Linked DNA regions of Oreochromis niloticus. The protein of the gene in region 1 interacts with the protein of each later gene in a biochemical or structural test. Links are inferred from orthologs where the notes say so. Each region holds a gene or a part of one and is shown on either strand. Other genes may lie near its edges. The genes, in order: pdgfra and pdgfc.

What was found.
Region 2: the proteins of pdgfra (region 1) and pdgfc form a complex in vitro, tested with the Homo sapiens proteins (2 studies listed by BioGRID and IntAct, with this or other methods). The link is inferred for Oreochromis niloticus from reciprocal best matches to the Homo sapiens genes PDGFRA and PDGFC.

Annotation. Positions count from the first base shown.
Region 1 is NC_031986.2:37,577,416-37,590,095, forward strand, and holds the start of pdgfra (platelet-derived growth factor receptor alpha), read left to right. Parts: upstream 1-7,891; 5' UTR 7,892-8,109; intron 8,110-10,529; 5' UTR 10,530-10,547; coding exon 10,548-10,605; intron 10,606-10,684; coding exon 10,685-10,960; intron 10,961-11,331; coding exon 11,332-11,595; intron 11,596-11,945; coding exon 11,946-12,094; intron 12,095-12,680. Other genes in the region: gsx2 (GS homeobox 2), read left to right, coding at 2,356-2,731, 2,967-3,307. UniProt on the Homo sapiens protein: Tyrosine-protein kinase that acts as a cell-surface receptor for PDGFA, PDGFB and PDGFC and plays an essential role in the regulation of embryonic development, cell proliferation, survival and chemotaxis.
Region 2 is NC_031966.2:13,015,139-13,027,553, reverse strand, and holds the start of pdgfc (platelet-derived growth factor C), read right to left. Parts: upstream 6,107-12,415; 5' UTR 5,543-6,106; coding exon 5,365-5,542; intron 1-5,364. UniProt on the Homo sapiens protein: Growth factor that plays an essential role in the regulation of embryonic development, cell proliferation, cell migration, survival and chemotaxis. Potent mitogen and chemoattractant for cells of mesenchymal origin.

The DNA.
Region 1 (12,680 bases):
AAAACATTAATGGACTTCTTCACGGTATAATATGGCATGGGATGCGAGGTGAATGGGGGGGGGACTTTAGCTGCGCACTTTAATAAGTTTGTGTGTTTTTACTACTGGGAGGAGCAGGATATGCACACATACACACCCACCTATTTGATGGACTTGGTACAAGAAATTTTGTACGGAACTGAAAAGAAAAAACAAACTTGCACCAACCTCGGAAGGGATTTAACTTTTAAAAAATATCCCCCACTTTTAATTTTAATTTTCAAGTCATTGAATAGGCCGTTGATTAATTGCCCATCAGCATGATTTGAAAAGGGGTTGAATAGTGGAGGGTACTGCTGCACTAAAGGCGCAAAACGTTAGGGAGAAAGAAGAGGCAAAGTGGGAGGTGGGGCCTCGGGAGTTGGACACATTTCTCTTTTTTAACCTAACATTTAAACACCGAATAATATTGCACCGGCCCCATTTACTGCACCGACTTCTTAACCGAAGCGGACAAAAAAAAAAAAAAAAAAAAAGCACTGCAGCCCTGTCACCCCGAGCAGAATAAAGGGAATCAAAGGATTTTTCCCTTAAATGGACTAATTTTCTCCTTGAATTATGAAAGTAATGGCTAGGTAACAGCCTGTGCTCAGTACCCGACGGCTTAATGCTTCCTAAATCCTTCCACGTGGCTCCACTAGTCCTGGCAATTAGGACTCATTATAGCCTCATAAAGGATCTCATTTGTAGGATTACTTAATAGACAATGAAATTTTATCGTGCAAAATTATGGAAAAATAATATTAGACCTCGCATGGTGAGGCGAGGGCGTGCGCCACGCATCATTCCGCTTGGTTTACTTTCTCTCTCCCGTTCTCTCTCTCTCCGTCTCTCTCTCGTTCAGGACTGTTATCTGTACCATAACAACTGCGCGTCTTCCTTGTCAAACGCTGAATTCACTTTATTAGAGCAATTACTGTCTGTGTGACTGACATGTCTGTTTTTATCTTTATTATGGTTGGATTTTAAAGACTTTGTAATTCTCTCAAAGAGTGCATCGAAAGTCACAGTTGACTAAGTGCTTCAGTTGCCTTGTTTGTTGTAAACATGTGTGTTTGCTCCGTGATGATGAATTTCATACAGCAGGTTTTTCAAGAAAAAAATGGTGACAAATAAATAACTTTTGAAAAGTTGGAATCCACATGAGGCTATTTCTATTCTATTTTCTTTTTGGCCTTATTTGTTTTGCTACAGACAGCGGACAACTTAACATCTGCGGTGTTGTACCTGTACCGTCTGCACCTTAACCCCGCTGACGGCTCAAATATGAAGGTTCGAGGCGTTACTTGGCAGATGAAAGCAGAAGCTAAACCTACCGGTGACCCGCCTGGGGATCAAACTCGCTAATTATTGTCACAAGATGAGGGATTAACGCATTTCTGAAATAGCTGCCTGTTTACCCCCGCACAGACTGGCCATTATAAACACTTTCTAATTGAATCCTAATCGCCGTCAAATAACCCCAGTCCAGACTCGCCATGAGTTCATAATTCTTTAATTGCTAGAAGTGAAACCTGGACCAACCGGATTCAAAGCACGATTAGTCTGCAAAGCAATTATTGCTTATGGTCGCGTGGACAATTCCTTAAATCTCATTTGCGAACTATCAATCCTTAGCCTTGGCTATATAGCGTTCCTTTGTATGTCAGACTTATTACTCAGTAATTTAAAAGAATGTGAATAAACCAATAACTGACTGCAGGTCAAATTTGAAAAAAAAGAAAGAAAAAGAAAAGAAGAGTGAATGGCGTATGTAATGCACGTTTTGTCAGAAATTTGAAGTGTTGTGGACACTAAACAATTTATTGATATAGTTGCAGGTGTTTCCAAACAGCTGTTCAGTAGTGACAAGTTTATAATTTTCAAATCTCACAAGCATATTTTAAATGTTTGCAATATATATATTTTTTTTAGGTTTTGTTTCAAAGATATTACAAAGTAATACTTCAGTCAGTGTGAATTTGCTGAAAAATTTCTTTGTAGAACTTTCTACACAGTTCTGAAAAGGAATAAATAAATAAATAAAAATTCCTGATTATTTTATGTTACCAGTCAAGACTTTTGTCAATTCTGCATAAAAAAGTAAATCTTGAAGCTGTGATTGGAGGCCCATATGAGATATCACGTGGTCTAGGTCACTGACAGTATAAACCCCAAGAGCCGGGTGCGCACGTGGGTGACGCTGCAGGGCCAACCCTCCTCGGGCTCTCTTTTGTTTGACCATCAAACATAAGCACCTTTGGAAATCCCGAGGGGCTCAGATGAGAAGCAGCAATCATCCTGCTCACGGAGCGATCACTTATCAGCGACGCAGCCATGTCGAGGTCATTTTATGTTGATTCTTTAATAATCAAGGATACGGTGCGACCTGGACCAACTGAGCATCCGGGACAAGACTTCCTTATTCCAATCAGCATGCACTCTCCGAGCGTAATGACTGTCACCGCTCCGGTGTGCCCCTCCAGGAAAAATGGGACTTTCTGTGTCTGTCCACTGTGCGTCACATCCCATATCCACTCTTCCCGCAGCGGCATTCCCATGCTGAAGAGTCAGTTTCCAGGAGCAGAGCCACAGTATTGTCAGAGAATAGCACATCAGCAGTCTCCTGCACTCGCTCACCCTGGACATACACCTGTCTGCACGCCCACCTTCAGCGTCACAGATCCCAGGAGATACCATTGTCTCTCTATTGGTAAGCACGTGTTTTCTACTGTCTCGGCTCATGACTAGAACTACTGTCCGGCACATATTTCTGTACTTATTAGAGCTCGCGTTGTACTTTGTAGCAGTAAGATCAATGGTATGCACTTTGTTTTTACGCACGACGATTTACGCGCGACATTTCGCCTGTCTTGGAATGACCGCACATTCACAGAGGAAGTACAGAACTAAAACATGACTCAAAAAATGTTTTTTTCCTCTAACAGGTGCCTCCGAGAATAACCACATACAGAATGGCAAGAGGATGCGCACGGCTTTTACAAGCACGCAACTCCTGGAACTTGAAAGGGAGTTTTCCACGAACATGTATCTTTCTAGACTCAGGAGAATCGAAATCGCTACATATTTAAACCTGTCAGAGAAACAGGTGAAAATCTGGTTTCAGAACCGCAGAGTGAAGCACAAGAAAGAGGGTAAAGCCACCCAAAGAAGCGCGCACAGTGGTTGCAAGTGCACAACCAGCCACACAGACTATTCAAGGTCAGAAGACGAGGAGTCTCTATCTCCGGCCTCAGTCTCGGAAGAGAAAGAGGTGTCTCCCATCTGAGAGCAACTCGACTCAACAAGTTCCACTGCTGGCGCGTCCTCTGCCCTGCTGCATTTATGGATCACGGCATCACCCAGCCCCTGAGCCAAATATCTGCTGCATGAAGCCTGAGCAGAAGTTCTGAAAATATTAATTGTTCTTCGCTTCATGTTCTTTATAATGTTCAAAACAAATGTTTAATGTTTAAAACCAGTGTGGATAGGTGTTCGTGAAATATTTGGGAACATGACCAACTATGTGACTGACGTTATGTGGATCCCCTTGAGGTTCTCACCTACACTACCTTGTTAATTATCCCCAGTAAATGATTTCAGTTATTGCCGGAAATCCTTTTACAGTCAGTGACGTGTAGCACAGAAAACCCCAAGAAATAGTAAAGGTCTGACGTGTAAACCCGAAACCTGTATGTAACAATTTGTAAACTTTGTATATCTGTATTTATTGTAATAAACATGACGAGTTGACCTAATAATTTGTCACTATTGACTTACTATGATTGATTATGCACATGCTCACCTGAATCTCTAATATCTGTAACACTGATAATGAATGCAAAGTGAAAAAAACGAATTTTTGAGTCTTTGAGAGTCGAGTTGATTTAAAAACTGCTCGCAGAAATGATTTTTTTTTCACTTTTCCATTAAAAATATGTAAATATTCAGTATTATAAGTGAATTATTACAAGGTTTCAAACGTACATTCGTTGTAATCTTATGAAGAAAAAAGGCCCCCTCATATAATATAATTTAAACACAATTACATGTTAAAAAAAATTAAAACACCACCTTAAAAAAAAGATAAAGTTGTTTTATTGTATTACAAAGACTTTGTACTTTCCTAGCCTCAGAATAAAAGCAGACACGTATCGCAAACTGGCTCATTAAACCGTGAGTTCAGTTATCTTTTAGCATTTCACCGAATTAAGGTGTTTCTGTCACGACAGCTATCATTATTAAGCTGTCATTCTTAACTAGTGGTCTTATTCTGTTACACCTCAATGTCCACTGTGCGTATTTTATTTAGGAACATTATGCAGCAGAGCTCAATTTACAAGATCTAGCTATCTAATTCAAAATGGATGAAGTGAGCTTTATGAAAGTGTAATTTCTCCTTAGATGTGACCACAAAAGGGTACCCGATAACGCCCCCGGGGAGCAGCCAATAGTCCATTAATGTTCGCTTTTGAAAAGATTTTGGTTGTCCAAAGCGAGTTTAATTGCGTTTTCGGTCCCACGTTGGTTGATTATGCTGCTATTGCTTGAAACCACAGAACAAGTATATATAGAAGTGGGCAAAGGCTTTGACAGGTTAGATTGTCCTGCCTTGGGACTCGCATTTAGCCCAGGACCCCCGACGGCTGTGTGCTGAGAGAGCTTTGAGAGACAGCTACAGGGTTCCTCCGAGCGACAGAGAACGATTTAGTCACTGTTTCATTAGGCACTATTTGAACCTTTCAACTTATGGTGAATTAAAGGGGGCACGCTCAAATGGAAAGGCTCTGAGGAGGGATTACGTAGGAGGGGCCACTGGAAATTAGCTGACGCCTAATTTAACTCGTTTCTGTCAGAGTTTGGGATACATTCCTAATTGAGAGGGGAAGCAGGTGAAGTTTTGGTCCCACGCAGGCCCATTCAGAGCAGGAATAAATGGTCCCCATTCACATCCCGCTGGTGATCATATATTATTGGGGGAAAGCCATCTAATGAATATATATTGAAGTTCCTATTAATCGAATTAGAGTTCCCTTGCAGGTGTGAAAGACCAGTGCAGCATTTAAAGCTATTAACAATAGAATAAACCACAGTTTCGACAAAGACTCTCCCCCTTTTCAGCCCCACAGGACGTGACCTCAAACTGTAAGGTCTATATAATGATGGGCTGAAGCTCCTTTTTTCCAGGTCGAACGGCTATCTCTTCTATAACTGTCACAATGACGAACTTTTCCGATCACACGGAGGTTACACAGCTATTTGAAAAAATGCCAGGCTGAGACTATGGAGCATACATTCTGCAGTAAAGGGACTATACCAACTAATGCACAGAAAAACGAGAGCACTCCAAAGTCGTCCTGCATCGGCCACCATTGAAAATACAGCAATTACGCATGACAAAAGACAATTAATAAGAGCGCTTTTGAGCCGGGTGCAGCTGCTGTCTCATGCGGAGAGATGGGCTGGAAGAAGCTGAAGTACCCGAGGGGGGTGTTGTCTTTTTTTTTTTTCTCCAGGAGAGGTCCACTTTATTTATTTGTCAGCAGTGTAGCATTCATCGTCCACACATATATCTATTCCATTCATTTAAATCACATATCAACGGGTTTGTTCCGGGACACACGCTCTGATCTCACGTTAAACAGCTGAACGTTTTTACACTTAAACGCATGAATCTTAAATTATGATACTGGGTTACTTTTTCGGACCAAGCTACAGTGGAAATTTGTACTATTTAGGCTATAGTAATTAACTAATATATGTATATGGTGGCCAATTTCCTTCTCTGTGTGTGTATGTGTGTGTGTGTGTGGGGGGGGGGTGATCTCTCTATGTGTGTTTGATATACAATGTGTGTGCGCGCGCATGTGTGTGTGTAAGAGAAGGAGGTGATAATTAATTATTACGTTGACCTTTCAAAAGTAAAAGTCAAGTGGTTACATCCATCTTTGTATAAACAGGGTCAGGTACATTCACACATGGAGCGCTATGGAGACCTCGTATATTTGCATTAATATCAGCTTAAATGAACTTAACTACATATATTACTTTTGTATGCTGCGTTGTTGATCCAAAATGACTCCGATTTTTCCTTGTTTACACTGTTTGGAGGTTTTTGGAATTGTTTTTAATATGCATCGTAATATAATGCGGGGTTCTGGTGAATGTTTAGCATGTTGTGTTTCATGCAGTCACTGTTTTCGTTTTCTATTGATCTATAAAAATCCACTTAATGCCTGGCCTTATAGAGAGGTTAGAGCTAAAAAGGTAAAGGAGAGGATTTGAATAGGTTACGGACAACTCTAGTAATTGCTCAGTTCAGCACCCTGGACAGCTCCCGCAAGGACCGCCCTCCAAAGGCCATCGTCCATCCAGTACTTTAAGTACTCACTTTAAGTACTTATCATGTCTATGAGACATGTTATGTTGTATATACATGTTTGTTAAAGTCAGTTGTACATTGAGCTTGCTCTAGCAAGAAGTTGTTTCTTGCTTAAAATGGATGTTTAAGCACACATCAAATGGAGGGGTGTAATGATTTTAGTTTCTCAGTCTTTTATTTATTTATATATATTATTTATGTTTATGTGTTTATTTGTTATGTAGCAACTGAACGTTGCCGTTAACATATAATTAAATACCGCTATATTTTTTGTCAAAGCCCCCTGGTGGAGAGTTGGTGGCAAGACAGTCACCATGCAGGAACTCTGGAGTTATATGCAGTATAGGCCTATATCTGGAATATTTAGGCGTTTGCTGTGCTTGTTATTTGTTGTGAAAATTAACTGTGATGATTTTTTCTTAAGAAATCTATTAGCGAAGCCTGGTATTTGCTTCATTTTGTGCTGAATTTATTCACACGAAGAAATAAGTAAATAAAACTTTTTTCAGTTTACCTGTAACGTTTTACGGAAGTTAGAACTGTTGAAAACTGAGCAGTTTTATCCCCCCAAAACGAGGCAAAACAGGTCTGAGCTAAGCTCTGCCTTCCGAAGTTGAGATCCTTTGTTTGGAGAACAAGGACACAGTTCTTTTCCCTAACATGTGGAAGTAATTGCGCCAAGGGGCCGTATGGAGTTGGGGGTGGGGGGTGAAACATCGGCCCCGGGGCCCTGCTCCATGCAAAGACAACGGTCTGATACCCCTCTGCTTTGCCAAAAGATAGGTGATTCACAGGGACCCATTCTTCTTTGTGAGCCCACCAGGAGAGGCCCGGGGTGAAGGGAGATACGGTGAAAAAATAATAGCCTTGGATGAGCACTCGGTAAACAGCTGACTCACGTGTGCCAGTGTGTGTGCGTGTGTGTGTGTGTGTGTGTGTGTGTGTGTGTCCCTCATCGAGAAGGCTCGAGTCAGAGAGAGAGAGAGCGAGAGAGCGAGAGAGAGAGAGAGAGAAGAAGCAAAAACTAAAAGGTAGGTGGTGATATGGTGGTGTTGGAGCGCCCTCTATGCGTTCCCGAGAGCCGCAGTTCGTGGTTTCCGACTGAGAACTGTATTCACTGTAGGGTACGGGGATCCTGCAAGAAAACATAGAAATAAGTAAGTTTTAATTTGAGGAAAACCCTTCATAACACGAATCACTAATAAAATTAGTCACAAAATGCAATATCCATCAAAGCTAAACATAATCACATACAACATAAGTTCCCCAAAAATATCTCATGAAGAGTTTTACTTTCAGAAGTTTTCCTATCCGACTAAAGTCCAGTGAAAATGCTATGTTGTGCCCAGATTTCAGCCGGCATATACGCCCGACTCTTACTTTGAAAAGGGTCTCGGAGCTCGAAAGAAGAGAAAGGGGAGGGGGGGTCATTTCCTGGGAGTTATTTACTTTGAGACAGATGATTACTTTTTTTCGGGTGGGAGGAGGGTGGACTGTAACATCGAATCAGTTACAGGTCGATGTAGCTGGAGCGCAGTAGTGAAGGCAGTCGTGGATGCGGACAGAGGGTGGCACATATGCTCTCACAGAGCAGGACCTCTGAGGATTATAACCGCTGCAAAGGACCCTTTATGCTGCGGCGTTTGGAGTGACCAATTCATTGTGGATATACTTACACGAAAGGAATATAAAGCAGGGATTAGTATAAGGTAATTAAGGGGTCGATTGAAACTATTTTTCTTAGTCTTTTGAAAAGTTGTCTCGTTTTGATATAATTAAAGAGTGGGAAATCTATAATAGATTACTGTTCTGTAAGATTAGATGGAGTTTAATTGTATTCCTAATTAGTTTAGCCAATTAATGCACCATATCATTTCGTATCATATTAGTAGAAAAGTTGATCTAAAAGTTGCATTCACTTAATATGGATCGCAGGGAGCCCTTCGACCCTGCAATTTGTATGCAGGCTTTGCATTAAACAATCCAAAAGGATTTTGGGGTTTGATTTCCTCTCCCCCTTGCACCATATGGTCTCACCCCTGGACGCCAAGCGGAGAGATCATGCTGACTCTGCTGGATAAAAGCGCTCGGTTTTAGGCTCACAGCTGGAGGTGTCAATTCGAAGACTGAAGGCTCCATTGTGGGATGCTGCTTGGCATTTAATGAGAAACACATTGGAAATTGTACATCACATTGTTTTCTAGTCTGTCCCTGGAATGTGAGGAATTAAAATGGAAAATCTGCACTGGGTGCACTTCAATAAGGCTGACTGGAGATTTCGAGCGGCAGCTGAACTGATCCAAGAGGAGAAAAAGAAGAAAGGAAGAACTTTTAGGGTCATGTCACCAACGGGTTTAACAGAGGAATACCGCTTGTGGTCAGAATTTCAAGAGTGAATACTCACAAGAATTTAAAACATTTTAACTGTATTCGACGGTTTCTTAGTTTTTTTTAATGGAAAATTATGGTACATAACTGACCCAGTGAGAGTTGAGATAAGCCAATATCAGCTGTTGCTCAACTGTGTCCAAGCCCAGCGGAGGATGCGTTTGCTCTGTGGCGCATTTGTTGAGTCTCCTGCTGGGAGAGCAGTGGAAATAAAAGTGGATCGGGACGTGCACGAAGTCTTACTGCCACTTTAGGCTCAGTCAGATTTACGCGCAGTGGCTAGAGAATTCTTGCCAAGCCAATGCAATTGAAAAATCCCCTCTCGAAATTGTTTGAGACAACGCGAGTGCACAAACATGCCAAACGGATTAGGCATTTTGTCAACTGATTCCCACGCGAATATGTACTTTTGTGCACACTGGGCGCGCTAATTATAGAGCTAAACAAACCCAGGTTACCCATGGATAATTTAGTTCTTTTCGACTGAGCCAGAGCGGGCAGCCACAGGAAACAGCAAAGGGACCAGCAGCTGTATTGTTTGGGACCAGGGAAGTTACAGAAAATGGAATCTAGACCTCCCCGTCACATGTAAAACCTATTTTGAGATATAACAAGAAAGAAAACTACTTAAAGAGAGTTAATTGAAGGGGAGCTTAATCTTTAACAGTTTTCTTTGAGTAAGCCACTCAAATTATGTTGCCCCTGATAAAAAAAGAAAAAGTAAAAAGATCCCTGATCGCCCATCAGCTTCAAAGAATATGGGGATCATAGTTGCAGAGCTACCTGAAAAAGCCAGACATAACACGATCTTTGTAAAGAATTGTTCGGAATAATGGGCTAAATTTGACAAGGTATGAGACCTTATTATCCAGTTGATAACAGTGTTTTTTTTAATGGGTACATTTAAAACTGTAACAAAAAGGGGAGAAACAGAACAATGTGCAACCAATTTGTGCTTACATTCCATGCAAAAACTAAATGTGCATCTATAAAGCGAAAAGATAAGCTTTAAGAGAGCGAGTAAGCAAGGAGGGGGATTAGCTTCGATGCACTTATAAGGCGGACTGTGTCGCCCTCTATCGATTGGGAACAGCAACCGCTGGCTCCTATTCAAAGTACCACGGAGTTATTAACCCTTTAAAACCCAGCGTATCATATTTAATGCATGTGTTTTTGTGAGTTTTTGAGACTTCTACATCATCAGCGTGACTTTTTTTTACCCTCAAAAATGATATGAATTGCATGACAATTTTTTAACGACTAAATTGTAAAAATATGGCTTGTGTAGCAAATGTGATACAAATTAAATATCATATATAATCAGATTAAAATTTGATATATTTTTATATATGTATTTTTGTCTAACAAACACTCCATTATCAAAAAATTAAAGATTTCTGGCAGTTCTTTCATGGTTCACATTAAAGGGGTTAAAGGCACAATTGCGAGTCACAATTTGAGAATCGTAATTCTCCTCTTAATAAAATAATGGATGCAAATCTGCAATAAATTTCATATCTGTACAGTTTCAGCACTAAAGCAATGTGTGGCACCACAGGCATAGCAAGCGCATGCTCGATATAATTACTTAAAGTTGGGCTTAAAGGAACTAAGAGTCAAAAATCAAAAGTGAAAACCCCACTGATCCATTTATTAAACATTAATGCTTTCAAATTGGATAAATCATGTAAGATCGGATAAAGTGTCCTCGTCTTTAGTAAATAACCGCTTGTCTTTACAGGTCAAAGCATCCATAGTCATGGATTGGCTGAAGACGTTTGTCCTCTTTGGGGGCAGTTTGGTGGTTTTGGTTTCAGGTAAGTAAAACAGTCTGCAGGTAAATCCTTTTGATAGTTTCCCAGCTGTTTCTCTGATGTTTACCAAACTGTCTCTTAGTTACCTCTGGACTGCTTCCACCAACCATCTTGTCTGACCAGGAGGAGTTTGTCCTACAGCCTAATTCCCTCTTCAATATAAGCTGCACCGCTAAAACACACGTGGTTTGGGAGGAACCGCTGCAGAAAAACGCCCTGGTTTATCCGGGGTATTACACTTCAACACTCTTCATATACAACGCAACGGTAGAAAACACAGGTTATTACACGTGCAAATATGAAGACCCGGATGAAGAACTGGAAGCTGATGAAGCAGAAATTTATATTTTTGTCCCAGGTGAATATGTTGGTGATATGCTATGATATACCATATAACGTTTGCTCGGGCGGGTTAGAGCACAAGAGTGAATTTGTGGGGGTGTCGGTTTTTCGCGTTCAGCGGGCGCCACATGCCATAGGCTGTGAGCGACCGCCACGGGACCCGTGGCCCTTTGCCGCATGTCTTCCCTTTCTCTCTCTGTCCCCGCTTTCCTGTCGTTTCTTCACCGAATCTATCAAAGTTGAAATAGGCCAAAAGAGTGAATTTGTTAATACAGCTTTAGAGACATTTAAAGGATATTAGGTTAAATTGTTCCTCACTTTAACAGAGCATTAGCAAAATGAACAAAGTCATGAAGCAAATTATAAAAATCCTCTTTTTGTACCTAGATCCACATGCTCCATTTGTCCCCGAGTTACCCACAGACCTGGTTGTCTCCGTGGACAATTATGGATTCAACATCCCATGTCGTGTGTCTCACTGGGACTCCTACGTCATCCTGAGAAAAGTCCCCAGTGGAGAGGCTTTGCATGCCTTATACAACAGCAAAGAAGGGTTCTTCTCAAACAACCTAACTCCCGGGCAGTACCAGTGTGAAACCACTCTGAATGGCCAGATAGTCCGAAGTTCTATTTACACTGTAATATCTAATGGTAAGTCAAGACAAGTGTAGTTGTAGTATGATATACTCTCTTTATTAAAAAAGAAATAGGAGCTATAGAGATGGTAAGTGGCAGGATAAAGATAAAAAAAAGAATAACTGAACAGCTGGAAACACCCCTGTTTATGAAGAGAAGGCTACAGGGTGATCTCACTGCATGACATTATGTCATTATTACAGAAGTGGGATGACTTCACATGCATGTTTGCACTCTCTGTGTGTTTGTGTGTGTGTTGGTGTATAACCACAGCTCTGCGATAAATCAAGTCACGGTAATCAGGCTGCCACACGTGATGTGAGAGATTGTGTTGCTGATAAATGCTCTCGCTGGTCCCTCTTTAGACCCTATGGAGGGGAAGGATTTTGACGATTCTGACATGGAGGTAATAGCCAGTGAAGAGACGTTGCGAGCAGGGCAGCCTTTCAACATCACATGCATCGTTCCTTCTGGCCTGGACTTTCAACAGCAGTGGCTCCATCCTAAAAAACAGGCAAGATACAGTCATTTCCCTCTGTGTTTTCCTATTTTAATTAAATTTAGTCTCCTATACAGCCTCAGCCACTTGTCCACTTCATCTTGCAGTGTGTCCTTCTACCCAGTGTCATTTCCAAGCCAGCAGTGCTGAGCCTTAAATAAGAAAATAATGGTTTTGGACCCAAAGCTAGCAGTGGCAAGTGGAATATAGCTCAGAGGACAGCCTTTAGTGGTTACAAATTATGTGTTAGGAAAGCAGCAACTGAAGGTTGGGTCTTTATTGTGAGGATGTAAGCCAAACACAGCACTTTTGCATGGAGTTAACTGCCACAGCTATCTTGAGGGAAAGAAGCAGTTTAAAAGAAGGGCAATAGGAACCATAGTAAATCTTTGACCCCACTGACCCTGAGACATGTTGTACAGATGTTGTCTGCACTTGTAAACCAGCTAAACATTTAATGCTTTTAAAGTGTTACGCTGAAGGGTCAGAGCAAGTTTCATTTGCAACTTATGTTTGTTTATATTCACATACTTAATCTATGTGGCACATTTTGCATGGGATTCCTTTAAGCCCTTTTCCAGAGATGTTCAGGGTAGGAACA
Region 2 (12,415 bases), on another chromosome or scaffold:
TGCGCCTCGCAAGGAAGAACAACAAGCAATAATAAAAGCCCAAAAGGTAGCAGGCAAGTTGAAGGGCTCATAGCATAATCACAGTGCTTTAAATCAGAAGACAGGAATTCAAGTCCCAGCTTGGATTGCTATTATCATCTTTTCAGTTTGCTTTTTTTATAGGATTTTTTTTTCAACTTTGTCTTTTCTGTGAATTTTCTTTCAGATTTAAGCACCTGCACTGTGTGTTTAGTTTTATAAAAACACCATTGTTTGCATTAAAACGTAACCTTTCACGTTAACCACCAAAACAAAGTTCCGCCATATGCAACAAGTTTGTCCATCACTTCCTTGCAGCACAAGCAGAGCATTTTCTTGCAATCCATTTAATGGAAGTGAATCCATTTAATATGCTGAGGGACGGTTGAACTTTATAGCGCCACGATGCATGATGAAAAATGCATGAAAAAGACTAGCCAGTGCAATGCAATTTTAAGCCTTTGGGGTGGAGAACAGGCTGCAGTGATTGGTGGAAATCAAAGCTAAGCTAAAAGGAAAAGGACTATAGTATTTACAGTTAACAGGTTGGGAGAAGCAAATCTTCAAATAAGTCAAATTATGTGTGTAAAACTGACACAAAAACATTATGTGTTTCACTATTTTACTGTTTCTTGATGTGCTGCTGCAAAGAGGCAATGAAAGTAATTAGTTTTTTGGAGAATGAGGTATCAGTCCCCTTGTTCTCCAAAGAGGGGATGCACATCCCTTGAGGGTTACATCAGGAAGGAATCTGGTGTAAAAAAAAAACCTCCCAAATCAAATTTGTGGAGCTACCCACTGTGGTGACCCCTTATGAATAAGGAGCAGTGGAAAGTAGCTTTAAGGTATTAGTCCCCTCCCCCCTCCTGCATTTTGTTTGTATAACGAAATGGTCTTCATTATACCACTGGCTGCCAAAGCATTGTGTGCAGTGAAGAAAAATTCACAAACACTGAGCCAAGAAAAGACAGAATAGGTTTCTATAGAGACTATTTTTCTTCACTAGAGCTTAAACCTATGACCCAGAGCCCCCGGAAAGCCTCTTGAGGTGGTGGGAGAGACGGTGCACTGGCTGCCTGAAATGACAAACAGCAGGCAGGCGGTGGCATGCTTTGCTTGCCAAATACAGCACTCCATGTTCAAATAGTGCTGACAGGAAAAACATAGACACTTTTATCCAGGGTCCCCCACTCTGGAGTGAGATGTTGAGGGGAAAATTTCCTCTTGCCAGAAGACATAGACCTGCCTGTATCCAGTGGTTTCTACTGCTACTGTTGTGGAAAATTCACATAAGTGCATTTTTCTTTCTCTTACTAACACTAAATGGTTACTCAGAAGCTCATGTATTTAGTGACTTCCATATTGGACAGGGAAAAGAAGCCAAACTCGTTTTTATAAATGAAAAAAATCCATCACGTTCACTCAGCAAAAAAACCCTGATAAACCAACCTCTCCTTATAATTGTGTTTTTCATCTCACTATAGTGATCTCCTTGGTGTAACTTCTGCCCTCTTTGCTTCCCACTGAGTTTATTGAACATTCGAGCCATCCATTTTCTTTGATGGTTTTAATTCAGCCAAGCATACCGGCTGCTATTGCACTGCCCACTACAATGATTAACTGCATAGTGCTGCATTCATTCATTCAAGCATATCCATCAAAGCATGGATCCCCCTAAGTGGAAACAAGCTTTCCCAGGGTCAGGAAACATCTAACCTGTATAAAAGAATGAGTTGAAATTCCAAGGCAGGCACGTTTTGTTTGACTGGTTTTCAGAGTCATAGTCGTAATTTCATATTTAAACCCAGAGCTAAGCGCTATGGAAACCACTTAAAATAACATGGTGGATACACGAATGCCAGCTGGTCACGTTTAGTAGAAAAGGCTTGACCCATTACAAATGACTATGTTTGGTCTTGTCAGGGCAGATTTTGTAACAGTGGGCTGAGAACAAAAAAAATAAAAAACAAAAACATAATACTTCTTCTTAACTTTAACAATTACACAATACGCATACTGTACAATATGGTATGAGATGACATAATAGTATCATAATTTGTATGAAATGCTTGTTTCACCTTTAAGAGTGGGACAGTGATTTTATATTAGTTTTTTTTATGTTTTTACTATATTTTCATTGTGTCAGCTGTTTAAAATGATTTCAACTTTAGAGAGAGAAAGATACAAATTTAAAGCTCTGTCATGAACACCTGCTCCACTGAGTACAATTAAAGTTATAAGATGCATTAATCCTTGAATAAAAGTTGACCCAAAGTCAAAAAAGTGCTTTCACTAAGCCAAATAAACTAAACTTAATTTAGCTTCAGTATAAACGTTTCAGCTCTATGATGAAATATTTCTTACAAAAAATGCTTCTTAGGAGTTGCAATTTACTTCTTGCCTTAAGTGATTTTGTACACAGGCTAAGATCTTTGACTCTTTATTAAATTACCAAGTATTTCTCAAGGCAGTTGGTAATCTTTTAAATACTGTGGCTAGGCAAGCCTTAGAAGTACTTTAGCTGTCAATCACTTAAATGAATAGGATTTTGCCAGCAACCAAAATGACTACTCCCACTTTGCTACTCTACAAATATGCTATTAACAGCTGTTCTCAGCTATTGGAGAATGAACACATATTGTACTCTGTTACACCTGAAAAAGTCATGATTCATACGAGGCCACCCAGTATGTTCCCGGTGCAAATGTCTTGTTTGTCTATATCATAATCATAATATACTGAATGTATAATGCTCCTCTGTCTTCCATCTATGTATAAGTGGTACACTGCATATGTTCCCCATAGGCCGTTGACCCTTATAACCCCAGTCCTCCCTCTAATCTCTTAATCTTTAGCGGAACAGCAGCTTCTGTGATCATTGGCAGGTCCAGTGTGGTGCATACCTTCCTCCAGAGGTGCTCGGGGGGGGGGTTTATGTGGGAATATCACAGGTAATCCACATCTCCTACAAATATCTGTTGCTGGATTTTTCTGAAAATATCTGGCTCTGTGCTTATGGGTGGCCTTGGCAAAAAAAACTTGGCCTTCTACGGGTAAGAGAAAGCAAACCACTTAACTCAGAGAAGTGATATAAGAGGTGCCCCTGAGATGACCTGTGTGATTGGGAAGCTGAGATGGAGCTTTAGCTGGGTGTGCAGTGTTGACAACTGGTATCAGGCCATCACTGCATAATGAAACAAGCTTATAGGCTATTAAATAATAAGTCAATCAGTGGTACATCATAGTATACAGCCTGTGAATCATGTTGTTTCATAACAAATCAAAATCCTGTCTCATGTAAAATATGTTTTATGATGATATAAACTCCTGATTTCCTCTTGCAAATGCTTGAGAATGAAAGTAATACTCGCTGGATCAGATTCTCTGCTGTTATTTGCTTCAGTCCAGAAAGGTAGGCTTAAATGTCCTGCACCATGATGGTATGCCTTTCTGGCAAAAACAGGACAACATTGTTGTTTCTGACTTTTTCAGCGTTCAACCCAGTTTTACCTTTTATAAAACAATATGTTTTTAAAAAAAGACAAAATAAATTGAAGACCAAAGGCTGGGGTAGCGTTTGAGCTAGATTGATACATGGACTTTCCCTCAGCGCTATTTCATTTTGAAAACCTTACACTACACGGCTTCTTTGTAGTGACTGGAGAAGTCATTTTTAGCAGCGTTTCCTCTTAATAACCATGAAACCCTATAGTCATGTGGCAAACACATAAAAATGACATACACAACACTGTAACATAATTCTCACCAGTGGACGAAGGAAATGTTGACGTTATTTATCACCCCAAAACACAGAATTTAGATTTCAGAGTTCATTTTGAGAGTTTTTGTCCAAATCATTCATTGTGACAGATGGTTACTCTGCACAGCTCTGGCTCTCAATGGGAGATGGTGCCCTCTGATATCTTATGGAGTCATCAGCAGCCGCTTGCCAAGTTTAATACGACTGGGGACCGTAACTCTCCAGGCAACTACTACTAAACATGCCAGACAGGTCTGGCTTTCTCCCCTCCGTCAGATCGATATCAAATTGTCTCACAGAGCATCTGCAATCAAGCACAGCAGAATAGAGCACTCAGACACTCCAGTCAAAGGTTACAGACGGTCTGGCCAGCTTTGCCCTCAGCCAAAGTGTGACCGCCTTTTTAAAGAGTTCTTTGACAGTTTAACATCTCCCCCACCACACTTCCCCTCCACCTCCTTCATCACTCTCCCTGCCCTCCCTCCCTCCTCTCTGTTGTTTTCCTTTCTCAGTCGTCCTGATTAAACCTGGATATCCCACCAGGAGGCTCTGATTTCCCAACCCTGCCTGTTACTGTAGTGAAGTCAGAGCTGCATGTCCTCACACAAGTCGAGTCAAACCTACTGGTTACTGAAGATCAAGAAATGTATGAAGATTAACCATATCTACAAGATATAGGTACTGTAAGCTATGTGATACATACTCTGCTTCTATGTTATGACTTGTTATGTGCTTCACGTAAGCATAATAATAATCAAACATCACATTTTAGGACTCCTGACTAAAAGGCTCACATGCACAGGATCGGTCAGTTCACACATAAACTATTCTATGGCAAGCTTTTTGGACTTACATTTCTTATACCAGCATGTCTTGGCTTGTTTTGTAATTCTTATAAACCTTCGTCAATCATATGCAGGATATATAAAGTTTGTTATGAAGAGATAATGTCAGCACTGGGAACATAAGGGATCAAGATATAAAACTTAAAATAAGCTGAAAATAATAATCATAATACACAATCTTAAGTACTGAATTAAGATCTGAAAGATCCTTACAACAACAAAGAACAACAAAGACTGTCAAATTCCCCATGATGGCAAAACAATCACTGGAGGCTAATTATTTACTTACTTAGCTAAGCACAGTTATATTCTTGTCATTAGCATGGAAATAAAATTAAACAGTGAAAAAACGGGGGGAAGGATTTCAGAATTAGTGAAGTTCATTGGAGTCATTTCACATGAGTCCCAAATTACATCGCCCTGAGTGACTGCTCCTGAATGAATGGAGCCTTTTTTATGATCACAAGAAAAACTTCTCCCGAGGGGCAAGGAATTTCAGAAGGGTTTCCCCTTTTAAGCATACGGGGTACACTTTAAAGGTAAAGGGTAATACTGCACTTCCTATCCTGGATAATACTGTTTGAACTAAATAAAATGCTTCTATTCATTCAAAAATGCACAAAGATCTACATTTTGAAAGGAATGTCTTTAAGCCCAGTAAGAATGAGCATCTAGGTTGTGTGAGCAATCATTCAAAAGTTTGAACTTTTAAGAATGAACGAGAATGCATCGAAAACTCACCGTTATGCTCCTTTACGCTTGGTAGGGGAAATTTGCTGACATTACTTGATTCAGCTTCTGAGCCATATTGTTGGAGAAGCGATGCAAGAAGGAATATTAATGGAAGGATCATTTGGATGAGTGGTAGCCGGCGATCACAAAGCGCTGTAGACGGGACGGTTTGTATCACCACACACATGCGTCGTTTACAGGACACCAGTGCTGTTTCGGACACATTTGGAGAGGATAAACGCAGAGTAAAATCCACTTAATTTTAAGCATCAGTCCTTCGGAAGAAAGTTCGGGAACAAAATTTTAACTTGAGAAGTTAGAACGACTCCTCTGCAGAGGTTCCGAACCTGCCGCTGCTGCGCAGAGCAAATGCGCACCTGTTGGTTCAATGGGAAGTTTGAGCAAAGTTTACTTTAATGTTGTTATAATCCCGGTATTAGTTATAAAACCACCCTTGTGCACGCATATCATCTACGAGACGAGAACATTAGAAAGACACAGTTGCATTTTGGGTAAAGCGCGCGTCCACGGTGCGTTCTTCACTCCGCCTGATAAATCCCTGCAGATCTTTACGCATTACAGCAAAGGCTCACACACAGAGACAGCGAGAGAGTGAAGCAACTTGATACAGCCTGTACTCAGAAACCGTTCGCAGCACCGAGACGTTTTCTGTTGTCTGGCGCAGTCTAGAGTCATAACTTGGAGTCTGAGATAAAATATCGCTGCGCGCCCGGGGTTGGCTTTTTGGAGACTGGCAACTGACGGCACAACAGGTGCTATACATAAAGTACAACTTCTCAGCGGAGGAAACTCCCAGGATGTTAACTATTCAGTTGCTGCCTGGTTTAACGAGGTGTTTCACTCCCTTACGGGTTCGTTTTATGTTTTGTTTTTGTTTTGTTTGTTTGATGGTTGCACACTTTTTAAATAATTTCTAGCCAAAAGTTTCAGCCTCCCGAGATCACACCGTCTGTTGTTAAGGATAAGGTTTAAATAAGCTGTAGTACTTTTGGAAATATATCTTTAAAACTAAAGAATAACTTAAAACACTATAACACCAGATTAAACGATTAGCCTATATTGTAAATATAAAAATATAAGAGTAGAGATACAAAAAAAACTGTGAAGGAGACATTTTAGGCTATTTGTGTGTTTTTTTTTTTTTTAAAGGGACACATTTCACTTTCTGCTGTGTGTACACGAGTTGTACCCACTGTCTCAGTACTCCTTTATCTGTTTCTCTGCTTATTTTACTGGGCTACAACACCATGGCCTGGTTGCATTTTTATCCCATTAAATCACGGTCCATCCAGTGTATAATATATACAATGCAGTTCACAGTATATATTCACATCAGGAGTCCCATGATTCAGACTAAAACCTTCCATATAACATTCCTAAGTAACATTGTTTAACCACTGAGTAATTGTTTAAAACCTTGATTCACTGAATGAAAGATAAATGCGCCCCAAAAGAAAACTTTTTAATATGCAGTTTTGTGCTCTCCTGGAATGTTTCTGTGGAAGGAAATGTTTAAGGTTCTCAATTTGTCATATCAAAGCAGAGACACCGCTTGAAACAATACTCCCTCCTGTTCCCAATTTCCTTTCTCCCCAGCACAATGTTGTACCTCATCAACTGTGTTTTATGTGGTTCCTCCCATCCTATTGTTGGCAAAATGCAACAGTGTATCCCCTGCTGTATGGTAAGTCTGCTGTAGCACAGACACAACAATCAAAGGGGAGCTGGAGACATATTGAACCCATTGAGCCAGACACATGATGCAATGCTGCAGCAATTTACCCCCAGTCTCACATAGCTTAGAAACTACCAACTCAAAGAGAATATAGAGCAACCATCTCTCCAGCATCAAGGTAAGAAGGGAAGCTTTTGTGGTTTTAATCAAAGTTAATGGCTCAGGAAAGAAGGCGTGGGACATTGATGCAGTCATTTCATACTTGTGTTGCCCCTGTGGAGAGGGGCATATAGAGGTCTTCATGTGCCTGTTGCAAGGGCCAAGGCCCTTTGTGTAAAGGAGGGTATCACATTCCAGCCCTGCGAGCGCCTGCAGCAGATGTCAGCACTTCACATCGTGGAATCCCTCTCTCTTTCACAAAAACACACACACTCATTCACCCCATGAGGTTTTGTCTGTAAAAGCTGGGTATTTTGTCTTGTTGTCCACATTTGATTGCCGCTTCCATGGTGGTCTTGTGAAACGCAAAGTCTTTGATACAAAGAAATATAATAAACAGAGGAAATTAGAAACAAGTTAGGCTATTTGGGTCACGCCAAACATGCAGAGACAAGCCAGCTAGGAGAGCTCTGTGTCCACTGAGCAGAGTGCAAGTGGAAATGTATACAATGGAGAATTCACACTCATCATATACTGCCTAAATCCCCTTAGACTTGCCTACCGTTATGGGATGCATTCTGCCAAGCAAACAAATGCCCTCAAAGATCAGTCATTATTAGAAAACACATCTGTCATAGGGTTTTAAAAAAAACACCTTTGTGGTGAAGAGAAACACAAGAGAATGAAAATGTTAAATTACTTAATTTATACTGTAAAACCAGTTGCTGCAACAGCATGAACTTCTGTTCTATCTGTGTAGTCCAGTAAATCATTTTATTTACACACCCATACACACACAACACATACTTCTATCTCTGTACCTGACCAGCTGTTATATCATCATATTCATTATCTAAAAGGCGCACTGACCTTCACCACGCAGTCACACTTTTATATCAGAGACATTCTGGTGTTTTATGGATACTAAGGTCTCATGTTGATAAGTGAAAAGTTTCAATAATTGCCCCTGGCTGTACTTGGCTTTGAGACCAGAGCCCCCTGGTGGTGCCCCTCAGAGCTACAGGCAATGTTCTGCCCCTTGAACTTCCTGATGATACTGCAAAGGGTGTGGATTTTTTTTTTTTTTTCAAAACAAACTCATTTTGATTCCACCAGGGGAAGCATATTTTATCTGATGATTCAAGATATTTCCAGGTTAAAACAAATCAGATTTGCTTATCATGTTCAGGTGTTCAGGGACACAATGCTGCTCCTTCTAAAGTGTGCTGTAGTAGAAATAAATATGCTTAAGTCATAAACTGATCATCAGTAATATTGTAAACACAGTATATTCATGTGTTAATGCACTGTATAGTCCAGTTATTTTGAATGAGTAATCTTAATTTTACATGGTTAACCTCACAAATCAAAACTGTCACAAGCTGCATTGCATTTTAGGTCATTTCAAGTAAATAACCTTCTTGTCAAAGGTACAGTCTGTTGGAGGTTTTGCAAAAAGTATTGAAGTGCATGACTTCAGTTTGGCTTCAGTTGTGCATAAATTACACAAAAACAAATACACTGCTGTCCAATATAATTGCTTAGCTGAGTTCCCGCCACAGCAAAACCTGAATATAATTCAGTTTAAATCCAATTATTAGTTTAATAATGCTGTCTGACTATATTTGTTATTGCTGCTTGATGCCCTGAAAATGAGAAAGAACGAATGTCTGCAGTGTGGTGGTGCAAGCTGGGATGAACACCTGGCTGGATATCTACCAGATTTTTACTTTGAGAACTCTGTTAATATCACAGGCATTGAAAAACTAAAAAATAATTCTGGTGTTAATCTTGTTGGAACCAACTAAAACAGAATCGCTAAAAATTTAATTTGTAAAATCTTGATTCAGTGTAACTGTTTAGTCATGTTAGACATTTCAGTTTGGAAAGAGCTTTTTGTCCTTCAGGATTTTCCCCCTTACACAATCCTTATTCAGGAAAGTGGTCCAAAAATATTTGAAACGAAACCTCCTTCTTAACAGATTTCTGGCTCTATGCCTCCATCATAATTTTGGATAGTGTTGCACTTACTAAACATCTGCTGACAAGGAAGACTCAGTTTCCATTATAGCAATCTGCTTATTTAATGATCCAAGGATCTCATATTACAATGCCAAAGTTCATCAATACATTATTGAACTGGAATCCAGGACAGTGCAGTGATGAATTTTACTTTTAAATCTGCAAGCCTGCAACCCTGTGCATGTCTCTCCTCACCTATTGCTTTACTGACATATGAGCACACTGCTTGAATGTAAAATAGTTACTGACAAGATCATGTGTGTGTACAGGTCAGACAGAGAAACCATCATGCAGAGAGAAAAGACTTTAATCAATAAACCAGGAACTTGAAGTTGGAAGATACTAATCCTCGTATGTGTCAGCGTACTGCCTTTTGAATGTACTGATGAACATGTTCCAGACCTTCATATAGTTTGAAATATATTTTACTTGTACACAGTAAAATAGAAAATGTCTGTAGCTGTATTTTTGACAGCAGTCACCTTAATACAAACCTCACATGTTCTTCAGAAACATCAAACTGATGTACTGTATTTGCAGTAAATATTGTTTTATCTCCATCCTTCATGATTTACATGAAGTTCTTATTCATTTTCGCTGCTCTTATCTCAGCTCCTATGACATGTACCTGTTCCTCTTCCAAACAATTTATCTCATCATTGAATTAAAGCGCTGTCAGCAAAGCTACTCTCGGTTTAGTTAAAGACTGATCCATCCTTCTGAGATGAAAACAAACCTGTTACTAAGCAGCACATAGTAAATAAATAAACAAATAAAGATGCTTAGTAGTAACACTTCTTTGTCTCCAGATCTGTCAAAAACTTCTTTTTCATTTGAATTACAATGTGACAACACATATAACTCTTCAGGGCTGCAGTGGTAGCAGAAATCTGGTTTTCATGCCAGGTTGTATTATACCACAGTTGACTGTTTCAATCCAGCCTGACATATTTCTGGAATGGCATATGATTGTCCATCACACTCATGGCTCATAGCCAGCTGGCCAGCGAACATTTTTCTAAACAACACAAAAGAATCCTTGCGCTTGAATGGCTGCCTCTTTATTGTAACAGCAGAGCTTTGCCCTGTGACATAAATCATTAATCTCTATGCATATGGTACTGATTAATTTGTGTATGCAAATGGAATGCCTTGTCAATCAAAATCATACCACGGGGATCATCGTTGGGGAGACCGCACAAGTTGTTTGACACAATGATGCATGAGATATGGATCAAAACTGTGGGGAAAATCAGCTCAGTGGATTTTTCTTTTTTTGTACTTAAAGAACAATAAATAAATAAATAAAAAAATCAGCCTTACTGTTCCCTTCCCTCTTAATGTGTGTGTGTTTTTTGTTAGTTAGAAGAACTTTCAAATCTGTGCAGACATGAACGGTAAATAAGAAGTCCTCTTTATCATCCACCAGGTTGTCAGTTGTTTTGTGACCTATTCAATTCAGTTCAATTCAATTTTATTAATATGGCGCCAAATCACAACAACAGAAATCACAACAGTCACCTCAAGGCACTTAATATTGTAAGGTAGACCCTACAATAATACTTACAAAGAGAACCTAACAATCATATGAGCCCCTTATGAGCATGCACTTTGGCAACAGTGGGAAGAAAAAACTACCTTTCAACAGGAAGAAACATCTGGCAGAAACCTATTTTTAAAGACAGATTTCATTGCAATAGTCAACAACCATTTCAATAAATAAAGAATTAAACCTGGAAACTATGACTCAACTATTCATTGTTTTAATCCTTAAGATTTAATAACACCCTGTCATAATACAGTCAGTGTTCAGTTTTTTTCTGCTTTTCATTAAATTCTTAAAAAATGAAAATAAAATCCTTAAAGTGATTGGCAGGTACAGTAACCCGCCTAAACATGCTTTACAGTACTTATGTTATAGTCACACTATGCATTTTTCTCTCACAGACATATACAAAAGGCCGTACTGTCAGACCAGAATGTGCACTGCTTAGCTGAGCCTCTTAGTAACTGCTTCGTTGAGGAAAAAGACATTTTTAGATTAATATTTATTTACAGCTTAACAGAAAAACTTCCAGCACAGAGGAACATCAGTCACAGGTTATGTAAAAAGTCTTATATATGATCCATAAAATCACTTTACATACAATAGCTTTTAGACTGAATATAAAAATTAACGGTATGACCATTTGAAGTGATAATATTCGATGAGTTTGTAGCAATTTGGTGTTCTGCCAATAACTCTGTCACAGTCAATGATTATGATTTAAGATCTGTATTCATTTATATAGCCATTCTCCGTTTCATTTATTTTTTCAGGCATTCAATCTGGATATAAACAGCAATTACTCCACAGCAAAATGAAAAAGACATTTCTTCCTGCCATAAATCTTAAATGTGTTTTAACAAACAGGCTGACAGCACAGATGTAGCAGGTAAATCTAAATTGTTGAATTTGGATATAACAACATTTGAGAACCAGAAGTCCATTAAATAGTTGTTCTGGGGCTTTTAGTAACTTTATAGTGCATCACACTCCCATTAGGAGACACAGTTTAGCCAATAAAATGGCAACTTGAACATCTGTGAGTTCATATATGAACTCACAGATGTTCAAGTTGCCATTTTTCTAACTTCCCTTCCCCATCTTCTAATGGAAACTGTGTGACAATCTAAGACATGTATGAAACCAAAGCATTTTTGTAGTTCAGTGGTGGCTCTAAGTGTAAATACATACAGTACTGTGCAAAAGTCTTGAGCCCTGAACCCATTTTTTTTAATACTTTGCTTCCAAAGAGTCAGACTTGCTTGCAATTTTTAAAGTGGTCTTAAGTAATAGTTCCCCATAGTTTTCAAGGTCTTTAAAGTTTTTTGTGACATTGACCGTCTTATCAGTCATTTTCAGTCTAGTCCTTGTACCTGAGGATTTTCATAAGATTTATTAATGTATGTATTTATTTATTCTGTTCAACCACTTAACACTGACCTATGAAACATTCATGTAAAAAAGAAAATGCACCTCACTTGAAGGATGAACCAGAACCACACTTTGTTACTAACAGCCTATCAAAAACATATACATAGACTCCAAACACACTGCTAGTGCAGAAAAAGCATACCTGCATGGAACCAAATTCCCCAAAAAAGGCAGCCAACATCATAAGTAGTGCTTTGAATGTCCGT